5 linked regions of the Xenopus tropicalis genome follow. The protein of the gene in region 1 interacts with the protein of each later gene in a pairwise test. Links are inferred from orthologs where the notes say so. Each region holds a gene or a part of one and is shown in the gene's direction. Other genes may lie near its edges. The genes, in order: l3mbtl3, prkaa2, ttc19, plekhf1 and ngb.

Evidence for each region.
Region 2: the proteins of l3mbtl3 (region 1) and prkaa2 interact in binary tests that used the Homo sapiens proteins (3 or more experiments, as listed by UniProt). The two-hybrid records come from large-scale screens. The link is inferred for Xenopus tropicalis from reciprocal best matches to the Homo sapiens genes L3MBTL3 and PRKAA2.
Region 3: the proteins of l3mbtl3 (region 1) and ttc19 interact in binary tests that used the Homo sapiens proteins (3 or more experiments, as listed by UniProt). The two-hybrid records come from large-scale screens. The link is inferred for Xenopus tropicalis from reciprocal best matches to the Homo sapiens genes L3MBTL3 and TTC19.
Region 4: the proteins of l3mbtl3 (region 1) and plekhf1 interact in binary tests that used the Homo sapiens proteins (3 or more experiments, as listed by UniProt). The two-hybrid records come from large-scale screens. The link is inferred for Xenopus tropicalis from reciprocal best matches to the Homo sapiens genes L3MBTL3 and PLEKHF1.
Region 5: the proteins of l3mbtl3 (region 1) and ngb interact in binary tests that used the Homo sapiens proteins (3 or more experiments, as listed by UniProt). The two-hybrid records come from large-scale screens. The link is inferred for Xenopus tropicalis from reciprocal best matches to the Homo sapiens genes L3MBTL3 and NGB.

The regions. Positions count from the first base shown.
Region 1 is NC_030678.2:83,409,747-83,412,575, forward strand, and holds part of l3mbtl3 (lethal(3)malignant brain tumor-like protein 3), read left to right. Parts: intron 1-150; coding exon 151-261; intron 262-374; coding exon 375-489; intron 490-613; coding exon 614-713; intron 714-788; coding exon 789-950; intron 951-2,571; coding exon 2,572-2,673; intron 2,674-2,829. UniProt on the Homo sapiens protein: Is a negative regulator of Notch target genes expression, required for RBPJ-mediated transcriptional repression. It recruits KDM1A to Notch-responsive elements and promotes KDM1A-mediated H3K4me demethylation.
Region 2 is NC_030680.2:87,584,464-87,588,726, reverse strand, and holds the start of prkaa2 (5'-AMP-activated protein kinase catalytic subunit alpha-2), read left to right. Parts: upstream 1-1,449; 5' UTR 1,450-1,455; coding exon 1,456-1,549; intron 1,550-4,263. UniProt on the Homo sapiens protein: Catalytic subunit of AMP-activated protein kinase (AMPK), an energy sensor protein kinase that plays a key role in regulating cellular energy metabolism.
Region 3 is NC_030678.2:29,750,544-29,753,627, forward strand, and holds the end of ttc19 (tetratricopeptide repeat protein 19, mitochondrial), read left to right. Parts: intron 1-2,237; coding exon 2,238-2,371; 3' UTR 2,372-2,581; downstream 2,582-3,084. UniProt on the Homo sapiens protein: Required for the preservation of the structural and functional integrity of mitochondrial respiratory complex III by allowing the physiological turnover of the Rieske protein UQCRFS1.
Region 4 is NC_030680.2:71,403,042-71,407,094, reverse strand, and holds the start of plekhf1 (pleckstrin homology domain-containing family F member 1), read left to right. Parts: upstream 1-1,246; 5' UTR 1,247-1,420; intron 1,421-4,053. UniProt on the Homo sapiens protein: May induce apoptosis through the lysosomal-mitochondrial pathway. Translocates to the lysosome initiating the permeabilization of lysosomal membrane (LMP) and resulting in the release of CTSD and CTSL to the cytoplasm.
Region 5 is NC_030684.2:82,757,752-82,762,050, reverse strand, and holds the start of ngb (neuroglobin), read left to right. Parts: upstream 1-1,495; coding exon 1,496-1,599; intron 1,600-4,299. UniProt on the Homo sapiens protein: Monomeric globin with a bis-histidyl six-coordinate heme-iron atom through which it can bind dioxygen, carbon monoxide and nitric oxide.

The DNA.
Region 1 (2,829 bases):
TTACATAGACAACTTTTAGCCTCCTCCCCAAGAAATAGGACTTCTTATGTCCAGGTATGAAGTGGACAGTTATAGACTTTCACTTTATTTTTTTTTTTTTAAATTTTCTCTCCTTTTCTCTTCCTTCTTATTTCTATATTCTCATCACAGCGCCCCCCTCATGGGTATCAGCCACAAATGAAGCTAGAAGCAGTGGACCAAAGAAATCCTATGTTAATCAGAGTCTGCAGCACTGTCCAGAAAGATGATAACCGCATTAAGGTGATTTCTAATACAGATATTTTTATAAATATATATAATAACACAGGGAACAAAATATGTTAGGTATATATGTATTTGATTTGCACCATGACAATTATAGAACTCTCTTCTAGTTGCATTTTGATGGATGGAGTTCCCTGTATGATTTTTGGGTGGATGTTGACAGCCCTGATATTCACCCTGTAGGATGGTGTGCAAAGACTGGACACGCACTCCAGTTGCCTCCTGGTAAGATATTTAAACCACATGGGGAATCTTATTATTAGAATTTGCATTACCCTGTATTAGTATTAGAGAAATTGGGGTATTCCGGTAGAATTCAACATATGCAGTTCTCCATTTCTTTAATCAGGTGCCTCAGACATGGCTGCTGTAGCCGGGCAGGGATGTCCCATTGCTGGCTGTACAGGAATTGGGCATGTAAGGGGATCCAGATATGGCACACATTACACGTAAGTGAGAGCGACACCATGAGCCTGAAAGAACAGAAGGTCACATATAATATACTTTTTATATCTCTTTCATAGTGCTGTGGGCTGCCCATACTCAGAAGTTAATCTGAATAGAGAGAATTTGCTACAGGATCGTCTTAGCGGGGAGCGGCCATCACCAGTACAAAACGCAACTCGTTCACGTAGGCCAGGGACACCTAGTCCTACAACAGATTCCAGTGACTTCCCCCAATCAAGGTGATATAACTAAAACGTTTTTAAATCTTTGTTTTTGTATGAGCTATCTTTAATGAAAATAGTGTCCCTGTTTAAAAAACAGACATGCACCGTTCTATTATGATCAGTCGACAAATAAGAAAAACTTTTTTTTTTTTTTTGCTAATTTGTTACCAGTGATTACAGCAGCCCGATGCAACATATGATGTCTTCCAAGTCTAACTTTGGTACTTTCTCCTCCGCCGAAGGGTGATTTTATTGATGTGGAGTGCCACCATGGGTTGCATATTGCAGGTGTTTATTTGGAATGCAGATACATGAATGCGCATAAAAGCTATTGTGGCGCTTTTATGTAGCACACCTCTATAGGTCACACAAACATTAAACACCACTAATTTATAATAAATCTATATAAACGCTGAGAGTTAGAGCATATATTAACACAAATATATGCCCTAACTAATAACAAAGTAGGTAGTATTATGTATCAGAAAAAAACATCTTTGGTGCTCTCCACAATGCATTACCACAGCAGCAAGCAGCACACCTCCTCACCATCCACCTGCTTGGATTCAATGATGTATTGAAGAGAGATGTGGGTAAATACCAGGCCACCCCGTGGTTGCAGGTTCTGCTAGTGTGAAGTTATGCAAGAGAGTTCCATACTATGATTGCATTAAAATGACCCTGATAACTAAAATAAGAATGGATTATTATGCAATGTAAGAAATCTGACAAACACAATGCTCAGTAAAAATTTTTCCCTTACTCTTTGTGGAAGTAATTCCTGTTGCTATTGCAGTGCAGACAATGTTTATCCTGAGAGGAGTGTCTGGCTTGTTTTAACAGCATGTCCTATAAAATATAAAAGTTAGAAGTTTCCGTGGCAGTCTATCAGTCAAAAAAGAAATTTGGTGGTAGCGTTTCATCCTAAATTATATTATCAACTAGATTATGCTGTGGTGTTTTGATTCCATGTTAATGAGGTTGTTCACCTTTGAATTAACTTTTAGTATAATGTAGAGAGTGCTGTTCTGAGACAGTTTGCTATTGGCGTTCATTTTTTATTATTTTCTACGTTCTTATTATTTGCATTTTTTTTTAATTATTTTACTTATTACTTATTTTTTTTACTTATTATTTGTTTAGCATCTCTCCAGTTTGGAATTTCAGCAGCTATCTGGTTGCTGGGGTCCAGTTTGACCTAGCAACCAGGCAGTGCTTTAAAAGAGAGACTGGAATATGAATAATGAGAGCCTAAATAGAAAAATAATTAATACATTTAAAACAAAACAATAAAGATAAAATTGTAGTCTCCAAAGAGCTATAGTTTTAGGCTGCTGGGGTCAGTGACCCCCATTTGAAAGCTAGAAAGAGTCAGAAGAGAAAGCCAAACCGTTGAAAGCTATAAAAATTAAAAATGTAGATCAATTAAAAAGTTGCTAAGAACAGACTATAACATACTAACAGTTAACTTAAAAGCAAACTACCCCTTTAACTATGATCAGGTACCATTATTGAAAGCAAATGTCACATTGGTTTCAGTGTTTTCCTATGTTTATTAACGAGGGCCACTGATCTATTAAGCTAGCCTTAGCTATTGGTGGTCTAATTATCACATGATAACTTTTGCTACATACAGAAAATCTCCAATTCCAGTAGAGGAACGCTGGGGACGGAGCAATCCGTGGGAGGGAACTGAGTGGTTAGAAGAGGAAACTGAAACTAAACCACAGATCAAGAGGTGAGTCTGTAGGTTTATACAGCATAGTGACAGTCTTGACAGATCAGTGAATTATATCATCATTAGCAGGACCCTTCACTATGTGACAACAATTATTAGCACATAGATCATTGGGACCCCCTGGGTTATGTAAGTAAGGTTGGGCCCGATAAAAAA
Region 2 (4,263 bases), on another chromosome or scaffold:
ACATATTAAAAGTTAATTTAAAGGTTGACAACCCCTTTAAACAGGAGAAAAAGCATCCAATTACTAATTGAGGCATAAATAAATAATTGGGGCATAGGTGAGTAGCCCTGTAACCTGCATTTTACAAAGGCCCGTGTTTGTTGGAAGCCCACAAAGGACTAGGTCTAAAGGTGGCCATACACGCACCAATAATATCGTAATTCGGTGCGTGTATGGTATTTTGGCCGAGTCGACCGATATCGCAGGAAGCTGCTGATATCGGCCGACTCGCCGATCGGACCAGTTTGAAAATTTTGATCGGGCGCCATAGAAGGTGCCTGACCAAAATCTCCCTTCAGCGCTGAATCGGCAGAAGGAGGTAGAAATCCTATTGTTTCTACCTCCTTACCTGCCGATTCAGCCCTGAATGGTGTGTGGCGGATCTGACGATGTTTCGTGCGACCATCGGTCAGATCGCCACGTGTATGGCCAGCTTAAGGCTGCAGGATTTTAGGGGCAGCATGCAACCAAGCCGCATCTATATTGGTTCCGAAGCACTACGGATGTGCAGGAGATTTGATTTAAATCTCTGCTCGCCAATCAAGCTCCCCAGTGCTCTGTTCCCAACAAGGGAAATTTGCGTATGCATGCACAATGGGAAGGGTGGCAGATGTGCCAAGCAGTGACAGGGGCCTAAGGATGCCCACTAAATCTGGGCCTGATTTTACAGGACTCATTTAATACAAGACTTGCTTTCTGGATTCCGCCAGCAGGGCACAGAGTTCAGGTGCCAAACTGCACATGGGTAGTGATCTGTCTCTCTTTGCCTTGGTGAAATATTTATTAAACCATGGAAAAATTTTCAATTTAAAGGCAAAGGGTTGTTTTACCACTGCTTTTTTTCTGCACAAAATACTTTGAAGTCAATGGCTATTTTTTGCTGCTTTTTTTTTTTCTTTTCACACAAAATATCTTCTTTTCTTGCAACATTTTTCTCACGCTTTTTTGCTTCAAACATTTTTGTGACTTTTAACTTTCCACCTAGCCCACATGTAATATTTACTTGTTCTCCAGATGTGCTCCTCCTTCCTATGCCAGAATGGATTGCCAAATTGCCTCTCACTGTATTTTGTTTGTGAGGACCATAGGGCTCCTTCCCTTGTGCCTAGCCTTTCATAAATAAACCCAAACGAATTGAACATGATATGTTATAGTTAGCTCATTTGGACTGCAAAAAAAATAGAAAAGCGAATTTAAATTCGAATCCAAGCGACGTGTGTTTCAGTACCCTGGGCAGCAACTGGTCATTGCTCCTGCGATTTAGGACCTTGCAGGGCTGCCTGCTCTTGCACGGCATGAAGCCACGCCCACTGGGCTGTCCCTGCAACGGGCTCTGTCAGGATCCAGCCTTTGGCACGCACCTGTCATTGCCTGTGCCAGCTGCATTGTGGGTACACAGACGAACAGAATGCAAAGATGGCTGAGAAGCAGAAGCACGATGGACGGGTTAAAATAGGACACTACATCTTGGGTGACACGCTAGGAGTTGGCACCTTCGGAAAAGTGAAAAGCTGAGTATATTCTCCAGAGCTTTGCTATGTATAGATATACTTTCAGCATCATCAGAACCTGTTTGAAAGCAGAACATGATGCTCCTTGAGTAGAAGGTGCAGGGAGATGAACTGATTGAAGTGCATGGATCATGCAAGCACTTTTTATGAGTGTAAGGTACAGAGGGTGAAGCCTACACAGAGTGCAGTGTAACATTACACAGTTAACATGGGCAGCATCTTTGCTTAATGATCTGTTATTCCTGCAGTTTTTTTTTATTCTTGCTGGGTGCTTCCCAAGGGATGCTGCAGGGGTTAGTTTAACCTCTAAAGCCCTACTGTGGGAGTTAAGGTGACATTGAGGGCAGGAGAAAGGGCAGTGGCAGTGTCTTTATTTATGTACTGTATTATAAACAATAAGCAGTGCAAACAGGAATTGTAGTAAAATGTCAGATATGTGTGACTGCCCGAGTCAGCCATTGTGTGTGTGTGTGAGTTGCTGTACACTTCCAGAAGCTGTGCTGGTGCTAGGGATTTAGTAACTGTGCTGCTGGATGGCAGTGTGCCAGTGGAAAATACATTCTCATGGATTGGGAAGGAACTATTTTTCAATTTTTAATAAGAGGCTGATTGGCTGCTTTTCAGCTTATGTGCAAACTGTTCTTGTTGAACCCAGCATCAAGGAATTGTTACTTGTCAGTATAGACAGGGTGAAAACCCGACAAATCTCTTTTTCACTGCCAATTTATTTGCCAGTGTTTTTAAAAAAAAAGTTGTAAAGGCATCTCTTTAGGACATGTACAGGCCACTGTTATACTTACTTACCTATTGCCATGTAGTAGCTGCGCAATTGTTAATACAATAGCAGTCACATGGATTTCCAGTAGATTTCTATTCACTAGGAAAGTTGTAGCATTTTATTTGAACCATATAGCAATCCTGCATTTAAGTCAAGCAGGTCATTAAAAAAAATCTGCACATTAAAAATGATTAAGACATTGCAAAGTGGTAAGAGGAAATCTGTTGTAATCTATTAAAACCCATCAATCTTTAAGGAATATTTTAGTGCCAAGTTACCTTACAACTGGAGGACAGGAGCACCCACAACACTTTCTTTCTTTGGAACCTGATTTTTAAGGCATTGGAAATGTAGTACTTTCAAGTGATTTCAGTCAAATAAGAAGACCTTTCAGAAATTTGGCCTGATTCAGTTTCATGGTAAAAACATATTTAATGCTTTATCTTGTCCAGACTAGAACCCTTGCGGTAGGCAATAAGTTTCTCATTAAGCTAAATATGGCCATTTGTGTCAAAAACCACAGGGGAAACATCAAAGATCAAAACAAGATGCTATATACCTGTTGCAAATGACCATGCACATAACAGTGTATTGGAAGGACCAGTAGAACCCTTAAAGAAGAAGTAAAGGTTCAGTCACTGGGGGGAGCCAAATATTATGCACCCCCAGTGATTGTAATCCTTTACCTGATACCCCAGACCAGTGCTCCTGTTATCAGAAAACTGAACTGGCCAGGCGTACATGCAAGCAAGCGATCCCCTTTTTTCTTCTTTTTTTCTTCAAAAAAGACAGCTTTTTTGTTAAAGGGGTAGTTAATCTTTTAGTATTTTGTAGACAGTGACATTCTGAGACAATATGCAATTTGTCTTCATTTTCCGTTATTTAGCTTTTATTTAGCTCTCCAAACTGGTATTTCAGCAGCTATCTGGTTGCTAGGGTATGATTTTCCCTAGCAACCAGGCAGTGGTTTGCGTGAGAAGCTGTTCTGTACCAGGAGTACTGGCCTGGGGTATCAGGTAAGTGATTACAATGATGGGTGATTACAATCACAGGGGGGCACCCACCCAGTGATTAAACATTTCCTTCTTCAAGGTGAGGATTTAAAAGCATGTTAACAAAATTTAGAAGAGTTTAACAACACAATGGGGCTTATTTACAAAGTATAGCACAGGATGCATGTTGCAAAACTCAAGATGTTAAACCAACATTTTTTTATATCTTTTGCACACTGCCTTGATGCAGGTGTTGGCTCTCCAGAATGGAGTGCAAAGACTTGCATTCCCCCTATGAATAGAGGTCTGTCTGTGTTCTGCAACAGTGTTTTCATGAGGGATGGGCACGAGAGGCATGAAAGCATCCTCTCTGCTGCCCCCTAACTTGCACATCATTCAGATACGAAAGTTAGGGAGATGTGGCAGGCACAAGTTGCAGCAGATCCGTGTACTTAAGGCTTTAATTAGATGTAAGAAATATATCATGCACTTTCATTTCCATATTGCGCTTACTTTGTATATAGTTTGTATGCATAGTTTAAATTCTAGCTATTGCTATAAAGTGCAGAAAATAGAAATCAGTAGTGCAGTAGCATATGCTGATACTGAAATAAATACTGAAAATTATCCATATTGTTGGGAATGCTTAACTGGCAAGATTATAGAAGCTCTTGCAAAGAAAACAAACTTAGTAATAAATCCATTTTTGAATCAACAATTATGCAGGCACTTAGTCCCCCATTCCACACAAGCACAAAGCATCATATATAAATTCATGGATGCTGGTGCACATTACACAATATACTGTATAGTTACCTAAGAACATAGCTTCTCCCAAGGATGCACAACCTGTGAAATGCACTGTGCTCTATTTCTGGCATCCTGGGATTATGTTTTTTGTTTGTATGCATTGCAAAGACACCACTGTCCGGTGTGTGTTACG
Region 3 (3,084 bases), about 54 Mb from region 1:
CATTTTATATATCACGTCTCTTCCTTTTTTTACTTTTTCTATCCCCTTAATTAACAATGCATGGCGGAGAGCTGTCTGTGTGCAGCACTCTCTTAATCAGGGGTCCCCAACCTTTCTTACTCGTGAGCCACAGTCACATGTAAAAAGACTTCGAGAGCAACACAAGCACCATAAAAGTTCATGGAGGAGCCAAATAAGGGCTAAGATTGGCTATTAGGCAGCCTCTATGCACACTATCCGCTTACAGGAGGCTTTATTTGGTAGTAAATCTTGCTTTTATTCAACCTAAACTTGCCACCAAGTCAGGAATTCAAAAATAACTCCCTGGTTTGGGGGCACTGGGAGCAACATCCAAGGGGTTGGGGAGCAATATGTTGCTCCTGAGGGAAGGGAATCACTGCTCTTAATGGTTGCAGTTATATATCTAAATGGAAGATGCCATATTATTATTATTTTATTTAGACTTAGCTAGACATGTGTAATGCACTTGACTTCATGTTGTGCTAATATATTGCTTTACCTAAGGCAGGTAGGTGTTAGGCTAGTGGCATACATGGAGTTTTCTCTGCTAATGTAAAATGGGCCAATCCACTCCCTTTGGCACAAAAATGTATACAGTGGATCTGGCTTTTGAGAGAAAAATGCTCTGTGAGTGCTATGCCGCCTGCACCATAATGGGACCTCTTGCTGTTGGCGGCCATGTTTGGTTACACACATGCACTTAATTAAAGAGCCTCCCGTCTTGTGCATTACTCACACGCGTGTGATGTCACACTCATTTGCATAACGAGCAAACCGGGACACTATTTGGCCACAAACAGCCTTGTGTGCACTCTTCAAGAGAGTCTAATGCTGTCCGCATAGCCACAATATATCTAATAAAGCTCTGTTCTGTCAGTCACGGAGGTTGTCATTTTGCCTCCATAGCATAGCAAGCCCAGCAAGGTTCCACCTCTGGAGTGACTAAATCAGCAGCTAGTTTTAGCCCCTGTATAGCAAATACATAATAATAAAAAAGTAATAAAAAAAAAATGAAAAGCATGCACAAAATGAATTTTCTGTGCATGTTAGCTATAAACTTATAGGGAAAATCCTATTTACATATAAGGTTTATTATTCCACTTAACTCATACTCCTAAATGTGCAACCTTAGTTAGTGGGAATATAACCATCTAGGGCAGTGATCCCCAACCAGTGGCTCGAGGACAACATGTTGCTCCCCAACCCCTTGGATGTTGCTCCCAGTGGCCTCAAAGCAGGGGCTCATTTTTGAATTCCAAACAGATCCTTCTGTACGCTTCCAGTCCACATAGTGGCTATTAAGTAGCCAATTACAGCTCTTATTGGCACCCCCAGGAACATTTTTTTATACTTGTGCTGCTCCCCAACACTTTATCCATTTAAATGTGACTCATGGGTATAAAAGGTTGGGGGTCCCTGATCTAGGGGCTCTACCATCTGTTATAATGGAGTCTTTCTAAGTAACTGTAAAAAAAAAAAAAGGAATGACAATAGCTTATTTACAGAATTGCCTTCTTAGCGCTGACTGCCAATGTCCATCAGAAAATTGCTTGCAACTTAACAGAAATAGCACTGCCAGCCATAATATAGCATGTTAATTATATGAATGAACATGTTGTGTTCCAACATTTCTGCTCTTATGGAACTAAAATTACAAGTCAGTAAGGGGGAAAATAAAATACTTTACAGTGTGACAGGTTCCGAATAAGATAAGACACTTGTGGCTACATCACATGCTTTGTGTGGACTGATATAATTCCCCACCATGGGAATCTACTGCACATACTGGTCAGACCTGAATATTCTGCAAAGCGCAGGCATGCAACAGTTTGTCAATAGGATAGCACGTGGACTGGTGATTTTACTTCAGTATGGAATTCATTACAATCCGAACAACAGATTATGCCAAATCCAAACCCTTAAAGTCATGTGACATTACAGCACTAAACAATTAAGTGTGGCAATTTTTTGTTCACATGGGACGCAATATTTCCTTTGTTCTCAATTTTGGCTGTTCAAGTCAGGGCTGGGATTCAATTCTGTATTCAGCTGGTAGAAAACAATGTTTTTGGTGCATCCCTATTTTTTCTGTCTTCCAAGCTTATAAAATTCAGCCTGACTAGTTCCACCTCTGCAATGTAATGCCTGAACCCTTGTGTGTTAGTTTGTGTAATTTCTGGACCATACCCTACACCGTTTTTCTGTTTGACATTTAGGGAAAGAACACTTTGCAGAAGCTGAACGCATTTTTAAGGAGGCGCTTGAGCACTCTGAGAAGAAAGGGGACTCTGCTTCTGTACAGTATATTCAAGAAGGTCTGGCTGAACTTGATAGGAGGAAAAAGGGGTAGCTGATCATACTGAAAAGAGAACATTGGTATTAAAGATTTTTGGATTGGAAATGTACTCAGAATACTGTGCTTTGCTGCCATCTTTGTCACTCCGAGCTGTCCAAAGGGGCATCAAAGGTGTGAATGCCACCAGGACTTGTTCATGTATGAAATGTATAACTTATTTGCAAGATACAAACTTTTATGGAGTAAAAGATTTATTTTCAGGAAGCATTTGTGTCCTTTTTAATTTCATTACCTCTAGATGTAAGGCAACTCACCCGCAGCGTGTGCGACGGATCAGGGTGGAAGGCACAAAACCAGGTGGAACGCATGTGAGATGCCGTCACACGCACGCGACTATTCCTGCTCGAGACTAATCTGCTCGCGACAATTTACGTGCGCATCATTACGTTGACGCATGTTACGTTTTGGCACCAAATGCAAACCCTTTAAATAGCCAAAACAGTTAGGCAACAGCGCTCGGTTATCAAGCTCTCTTGTGCCTAGCATCCTGTATCCTATTGACCTGCTGATTTGACCTTCTTGCCTGACCCTTGCCTGTGAATCCTTGCTGCCTGCCAAGACCCGGACTTGTTTGACTATTCTTCTGCCTACTCCTTCGGTACTCCGCTATTCGGCCTTCCAGCCTCTTTCCACTGCTGTGCTTCCTGTCTCACCCTCGGGTAAGCCGCCAGCTAGTGTGAGGTGCTTGTGGGTGAGGATCTCATCTG
Region 4 (4,053 bases), on another chromosome or scaffold:
CTAACATTTTGGCACCCCCAAGTGACTTTGCCTTTCCTTCTCCTTTAAGCACAGAATTACCCAGCACTGGAAGGTTTTTTGCCTTCCTCTGGATCATTTATTAATTCCATGAAGCAGTTATGGCCCCTAGGATCACTTTGGCTCTGTGCAAGCCTAGCCAGGAGGAGTAGTCACAACCCTAGAGCCAGGCTAGAGATATTTTGCACAAGGAAGGGCAGGGAGAGAGAAAAGGTTGGTCCCTCAAGAGCGCTACCCAATCTCTGCCCTACATTGAGCCCACAAAGTGTTTTAGGAGCCACAGCTGGTTTCAGGGAATGCCCCACCATTTTTTTGGCAATTATTAGTAATAAATTCTGTGACCCCCCCCAACAGATTTTTCCATAGACACATCTCTGGGTTTTTTTTCTTGAATCCTTATGGTGAATATTGGAGGGGGTAGGGGAATGGGCTGTAGTGCCTCGTTCTGCTAAAGGTGACTGGCCAATTGTGTGACAGGTAACTAATACCAATGGGCAAGTGCGAGGCAGGGTGGGGTAAAACTGGGTGGCTGTCTTGAAGAGGTTTTTTTTAATCAAACTTTATAAATTACACGCCAAATAGACAGATTTCGGCATGCTCATTAAAAAAGGATTATAAGTGCGCATGTGCACTATGCCAAGAGACAAAATTCTGAAGGGAGGGTGAGAGGGAGTTACAGAGGGAGACAAATCAAGGGATCGCTGCAGCTTCGTTGAAGAACCCGGAGCAGCAAGCATTTAAAGAATGCTGTGAGGCTTTTCACTGATAAAATTTTTGGTTGGGGAGTTGACGTGGCCTTTAAAATAAACTGCAATAACTGGAGTCAACTGCTTGCTGGATTTTTTAGACTTTTTACAGCTGTGGTGTCTGTCCCTAAACAGAGCAAATGTCTTAATAAAACCATAAGTATGCCACATGGCAATTACATAAGTACCGCTTTGTTCCACCCTTGCAAAAACCCTCACGTTCCATAAGGGACATTCCATATCGGAGTGACAGGAATAGCAGACTGAAGCATTACAACAACTACTCAGCCAGCTCCTCTCTCGTCAGCACTTTCGGAGGAAATCAGAAATTCTCTGTTTAGACCTGTTGGCAGCCAGCATAGACACGTGTTTCTCCCCGGGGCGGGGCCTGACTTCTGGGCTGTCTGTGGGCAGCGGAGGCGATAGTCTCATTGCATTCTCATCACGGGATAATAGCCACTGGTGACGGGTGGGTCATGAGGGAACTCTCCCTGCCTGCATTATAAAGGACATAACTTGCTGACAGTAGCGAAATCGTGTGGCAGGGAGCGGCATGGCGTTGCTCTGAGACTTTTCTGCAGAACTTGAAGCTGTAACAGGGAATCGCGTCGCGCTACAGGGAGCGCTCTGCTGGAACGATATATCTAGAGCGCAGGGTAAGCAAAATCACTGCTCTGCTTGCTACTGTCGTTTTGAAAGCAACAGCTGTATGCAATTACTTGTCAAAACAAATGTAATCCCTTGTATGAGACAGGGGGTTCTGTATTGATCACTCGGGCAAAGCAAACCTATTATTGTAGGGCAAGCAGTATGTTAGCTCCCTCCAATATTCCCAAATAAGAAAAGATTTGCAGTATTCTCCCTCGAACCTGTTATAGCAGATTTTGTTATATGGCCTAGCTTGTAAAACATTTCCTGCTAATTGATGCATAGTGATCTAAGCAGTAAACTGTAACTTGTATATACTGTAGATTGTAGGACATTCTTCTAACAAATATTTGTACAGCATGTTCTTAACAGTCAGTGCTCTGTCATTTCAACTGTTTGGACATGTCCGCTTCTCATATTCTGTCAGTTCTGGAGCTAGGCTTTCCCGCAGCCATGTCGGTAGCGCAGCAGTTAGTAATGCACTCTTTTGTGGCCACACCACCAAAATACCACAATAAGCACTTCATTATGGCGCTGAAGCATTTCACGACAGGCACAGTTCCATCAAGCTCCCCATCTTTTGTCTCCAGGCAGCAGTGCTTTTTATAATGTGATTGTAGAGGAATGACATCAGAGTCAAATCTTGCAAGACTTTTCCATCATAGACAGCGGAGGGGCAACTGGGAACCGCAAGCTGGATGACAAAAATCAGGGCTGTCAAAGTGGGAAAGTAGCGAGGTTATCACAGAAGAGGCATATTCAGAATATTGCATTAACCCTAGACATGATATACATATGGCTGTGCTTGACTATAACTCTCAGAAACCCTAAGAGTTATAGTTTAACAACCACAAATGCCGGCCATCCACATCACATTACAAAGTAGTAGTATAATCACATACCAGATGCACCAGGAAGAAGCTTGTAGTACATACAGGCTGGGACTTAGAGGCTAGAATTTCTATAAAAGTACAGGAATTCCAAAGTATATACCCACCTAGACTTCAAAAACTAGCCCACATCTATACCTAGGCAGATTAGTACTTTGGAAACCTGCCACAGCTTTAAAATAGTACCCCAGGTAGGCAGAAAAAATGCCAACCTGGCAACCTTGATCTCATACCTACAGTCCTGATGGAATGGATGAAGGAGGTCTGAGCACCAATGGAGGAAGAGAGGATAAAGAAGGGATAACCACAGAGGGAGAAGGGCTTAGGAGCGCTGTGTACAGATGACATGAATGTCCGGTCAGCTGCGAACTTTTATTGGTGTATTGCACACTTTAGAAGCATCAAAAGGCAGTGGTAATAGAGAGCCTTACATTATGGGGCATATTTATTATGCTGTGTAAAAACGGCAAGAAAATTCACCACACATTGGCAGGCTTCGCCGTGTATAAAACGGCATAATTTTTTACGCGTTTTTTCTTCCACCGGAACTTATGGAAAGTAACGGCGTAATATCCGGCGTTCAGACGGCGATCTTTTCCATTTATTTTACACAGCTTTTTACTCCGTTTTTTCGGCGAATTAGTTTTACACAGCATAATAAATATGCCCCCAAATGTTAACAGCAGGTGCCTCTGCAAACTGCTGTTTTGGGTAACAAACTGTTGATTCGTTTTGATCTCAGTGCAAAATAGGTAACATTCAGCACAATATAGATTAAAGTGGAACCCATAACCATAGAATCTATGGTGTTGGCACTTTTGATACTGTTGATACTTTTATGGAAAAAAAAGTCAGCTTCTCTCCATAATAAAAGAAGTGACTGCAAAATGAGAAACATTGATGTACAGTTCTGTAACCTGAGTTAAGTCTAAATGCCAAACTGGAAATATCAGTTCCTGATTCTTTTAGAAACATCTGATGGACGTTTCTTTTAAAGGTAAACAGTCACAACAAAGGGGTGAAGGTAATGGTATATTCTAATTTTAAATTATAAATAGGCAGAATTTACTTTCAGAGTAAGTTCTAGTCATTATGCTGAAAAAAGATGTACACTACCAATGTGACGCTAAGTAATAATCACTATTACGTAAAAGAAAGAAGCAGCATAGAACAAAAAAAGCTTTGGCTCTAGGAGGATTTTATTTTATATGGTGATGCCCAAAGTATGGATTAGGATTAGAAAAAAAGTCTTCACAAAAGGAAATGGAGGTAATATAAAAAAGGGAGAAAAACTGATGTTTTGTTACCTAGTGGTTCACCTTTATGTTAACTTTTAGTATGTTATATAAAGTCCTATTTCTAGCAACTTTGCAACTGGTCTTCATTTTTTAATTTTTATAATTTTCAAATGATCTGCCTTCCACTTCTACATCTTTTCAGCTTTCAAATGGGGGTCACTGACCCCAGCAGCCAAAATCCTTTGTTTTGTGATCTTACAATTTATTATTATTGTTACTTTTTATTACTTATCTTTCTATTCAGTCCCTCTCCTAGTTATATTTCAGTCTTTCATTTACACCACTGCCTGGTTGCTAAGGTAAGCAAGACCCTAGAAACCAGATAGTGGCTGAAAATCCAAATTGTAGAGCTGATGAACAAAAAGCTAAAAAACACAAAAAATGAAAACCAACTGCAAATTGTGTCAGAATATCATTGTCTGCATCATACTAAAAGTTCATTTTAAAGGTGAA
Region 5 (4,299 bases), on another chromosome or scaffold:
AAAGGGAAACTACAGAAAAAGGCTCTATTTCTGTTGTGTTATCTAAAAACAATGTAATAATGTTTCTGGATATAGTGCCTCATAGACCTTGTGCATTTATGCATATGCTAATGCTTTTTTTTTTTAATATACATCTTTTAAATAACACTGCTGCAGTATGTTTTGACTGTGTACTTCTAATTAAGGGGTCTATTTATCATGCTGTGTATAAAAATAAATGGTGACCAAGTACAAAACATAATTTACAGCCTTGCTTGTAAAAAAAAAAAGGTGTATAAATTATCATTGTAAAAGTTTTTCGTGTAAAAATCCAGCATTACAGGCAGCACCTGCTTTTAAATGGTGGGTAATAAAACAGCAATCCTCCAGCAAAAAAATTGCCATTTTTACCTCAAAGTTACTTGCCACACAGTCATTACACAAAGCCTCTTTTTAAACTTTTTTTTTATTTGATAAGAGATCTTATGCTGTATAAATATTAATATACGGCTGTTGGCTAAACAGATCTGCAAAGGAAACATTTTGTAATAATTTACTCTTATCCCAACATGTCCTGGAATTGGGATAAAATGAGGTGTAAACAACATTAGACTGCCCTGTGTACATGCCCTAAAGCCCTTATTGCACTTGCTGCTGCTGATAGACTTCTGGTTTCTTAATTTGGTGCTCACTGTGATATTCACACATGACTATTGTGCAATCCAACTGGACTGCAGTCTGGTGCTCCTACCGCCTGCTTTTTCCATGATCTTATATTTGGGGACACCACTTTTATAATTCCTGTGTGCCCTGAGATTGAATGATCAGTTGGAGGCCACTCATATCAGACAATTGTAATTCCACATCTTAGAGATCCAAATGATTCCTTTCACAGGCATTTACACAGAAAAATATTAAAAATCAACTAAACATCATTGTAATAACATATATTTTATGGGCCACATTTTAAGAGGTTATTAGGTTACCAGATAACTTTATAAATCGGGCATGCTTGTAAAAAAATGCAGCCACAGGGGATAAACTGATTGTACTTGATGTGAATGCATTGGCAAACAGTGCAGCCCAGGAAACTGTCTGTTGTCTGTGGACAGACTTGTAGCTTCTTGTTAGGAGCACTGTGACTTTAAATGCAGAAAAGGATGCTGTGACAGGGAGGGGAAAGGAGGGGGCAGGCGATGCAAAGCCAAAGACAGGCAGAGGATGCACAGAGAGAAGGCTGTAGTGACAGGAGATAAAGTGAGGGATGGTATAAATGAGGAAGCAGTGGAAAGGAAAAGACAAGGGCAAAAGATAAAGGAACACATTTTTCCTAGTCTGCTGTTTTGAGACGGTCACACTTCTGGCAAATGTTCCTTTCCTAAGCGTTTAGTGTCCCTGGGCAACTCTGGACCCTGGGCTCTGATAGGTAGGTGCAAAACCACAAAAACAGGTTATAGTGTTACATACAAGAAATAGCAAAGGGGGAAAAGTTAGAAGGAACTCAAGCCTTAGTACCATGGAGAAAGATCAGCTGTCGGGACCCCAAAAAGAACTGATTCGTGAGAGCTGGCAAACAGTAAGCCAGGACCAGCTGCACCATGGAACAGTACTATTTTCCAGGTAAGAGACTGGCAGAGTCAATGACCAGGTGAAACATTTTAGCAAGCACCTGGTAACAGTGACATTTTTCAGTTGAAAAGGTAAGACACAGCAGTATTGGCACAAACTGGTGTCTGTAACTATAAGTGGACTGTATTGGTCATCAGAAGTTCCACGTGAATGTCTGATACGTGTAGTTCACCAAGTAAAATACTGGTACTATGGCATCTGCCAGGTAAGTGCATTTTGCTGGTAAGGACAATGGTGTGACCTGCAGATGAGACACTGACAGCAAGTGTTTTACTTTGTGAGAAACATAATATTGTTGTATTGTAATGACAAGTTACAGTGATATGCACATAATAGGTTGCATAGAATTATAGGGGATTATTAGACTTTGCTGTTCATTTTTGTAATCTTGCATCAGAGTAGTCCAATAAAAGAAATATAACTGAAGAAGAAAATTACATTTATAGGGGAGCCTTGCAAAGCTATATAACTGATGGCAGGTTAGGGCTACTGGATGACTTGAAAATTAAGGGACATATCTAGAAAATCTAGCTGTGCTGGTTACAATATAATTTAAAGGCAATTGGTGCATCCCTAAAATGTGCATTTATTTGAGGTGTCCCTACATTTTCAAGGGTGAGAAACTGGCATGTTCAGAGAATATATATATTTTTTCTCTCTCTCTCTCTCTCTCTCTCTCTCTCTCTCTCTCTCTCTCTCTCTCTCTCTCCATATATACATATATACATATAATATATGAATGACACAAGACAATTTTAATGTTTATTAGTTATATAGTAATCAGTACTACGATCTGGCATGATGTGCAAACAAAAATGACAACATTGTGACAATAAATAATAGAATCTGGGGTTATCAGATATTTATAAAAAATGGTATTTATGGAAAAGCATGGTGGGATTATTTTATATCAGACCACAAAACATATGTTTTGCATCTTAACTCTGGCATTTTTATCTGTAAGCGTGCATATTCTTGTGCTCTAGCTTTCTACATGAGAACTGCAGCTCTTCTCCTCTCTGATAACCTTCCCTCACATCTCTAAGACTTCTCTTCTGCTGGAATTCACTGGCAAGCTCCAGATCAGTTTTCTTACTAAAACACATTTCACTGGCACTGATTCTAGTTTTCTGCTGTCTCACATAAATCTCTAATTATACTGACTGTAGCAACATTCTCAACTGAACTGAATAGATCAATACTAAAACATTTCATATGTTTTAATATTTGTTATTTAAACAAATAACAGTTTTAAACAAATAACAGTGGCTAGTTATATACATGGGTGAGTAGTTAATACTGGAGGCATCCCTTATTTTGAATAAATAAGGTTAAGAGAAATGTTGGACTTTATTACAGATAGATTTTGATGCTGAATTTAGAGGATCAAGTACATGAAAGATCAGTTATAAGACTGATACAGATGCTTTATGGTTGATTAAATTCTGATGGGGTCATGTTAATTGTATGTTTCAAATAAATTAATAAGCCATTCAGACACAAGTCCTTTATAGCAGATTTCAATTATACTGAAATTCAGTGATGTAACATGACTGCCAGCACATCAAAGGGAAGCTAGCTACTTGCTGTCGGCACATTTAATATGCTGAAGAGGTACTCTTTTGGATTGTGTGATCTGCAACATAGGGACTTAAAAAAATGTTTGGAAATCGTGACCATATAACATGTATATTGAATCAAAAATGATAACATTCAAAGGAAGCTGATCATGGTACAAGCATCAATACAATAAAGTAATTGCAATGGCACATTATCAGATAAAATAAAGATATAGATAATTTGGTAACATGCAAGTATGGACATATTTTCATTGATAGGATGGGGTGAATGTTTGTGAGAATGGGGATGCAGAATACATTTTAAAAAGTGATGATGTCGGGGGAAGTCAGGGCAGAAAAAGAACAGTATTCTGAGGAGAATGTGGGTGAGAGTAAAATATAAGGTGTGGCAGAACCCCTTCACTCATCAGACCTGGGGAGCCCAACTTTCTTACCTGTGAGCCACAGTCAAATATAAAAAGACTTAGGGAGGTGCCAAATAAGGGCTATTTGGTAACCTCTATGCAAAAGCTCAGCTTTGAGGAGTACATAGTGTTCTTATTTAAGAAAACTTGCCACCAACCCAAGAATTCAAAAATAAGCACCTGCTTTGAGGCCACAAGGAGTAACTTGTTGCTCACAAGCTGCTGGTTGGGGATCACTGCATCAGTCTATACTAAATACTGTTTCTCTGCCTATAACACCTCCATATTGCATACCAAGGGAGTGAAAAATAAAAGGTTATTAGATATTGGGGTCAGCAAAGATAAGTAAAATAGTGAAAGGCTGGCAGACTAAAGTGGGTGTAAGAAAACGTGATACCATGCCAGGCATCTAGAGATCGGTGGGTAAGGATTGCAAATAGGTTAGCAGATGGTACAAAGCTATGTGGTGGAGTCTATCCAATATGTTTTATCCTTGACCGTGTTTTATCCAGATTTCCTAATAACTTGTTTTACTTATTTTCCTATTCCTAATGGCCTATTATTGACCTGATAGTCTGCTTCTAGCAGCATGTATTTTCACTATTATTAAAATAATGGACAATTTACCTTTATTTTCCCTTATTTGTAATCATGCATGACATATTATTAATAATAGTATTTGTTTGTGTAAGCACACTTATTTGCAT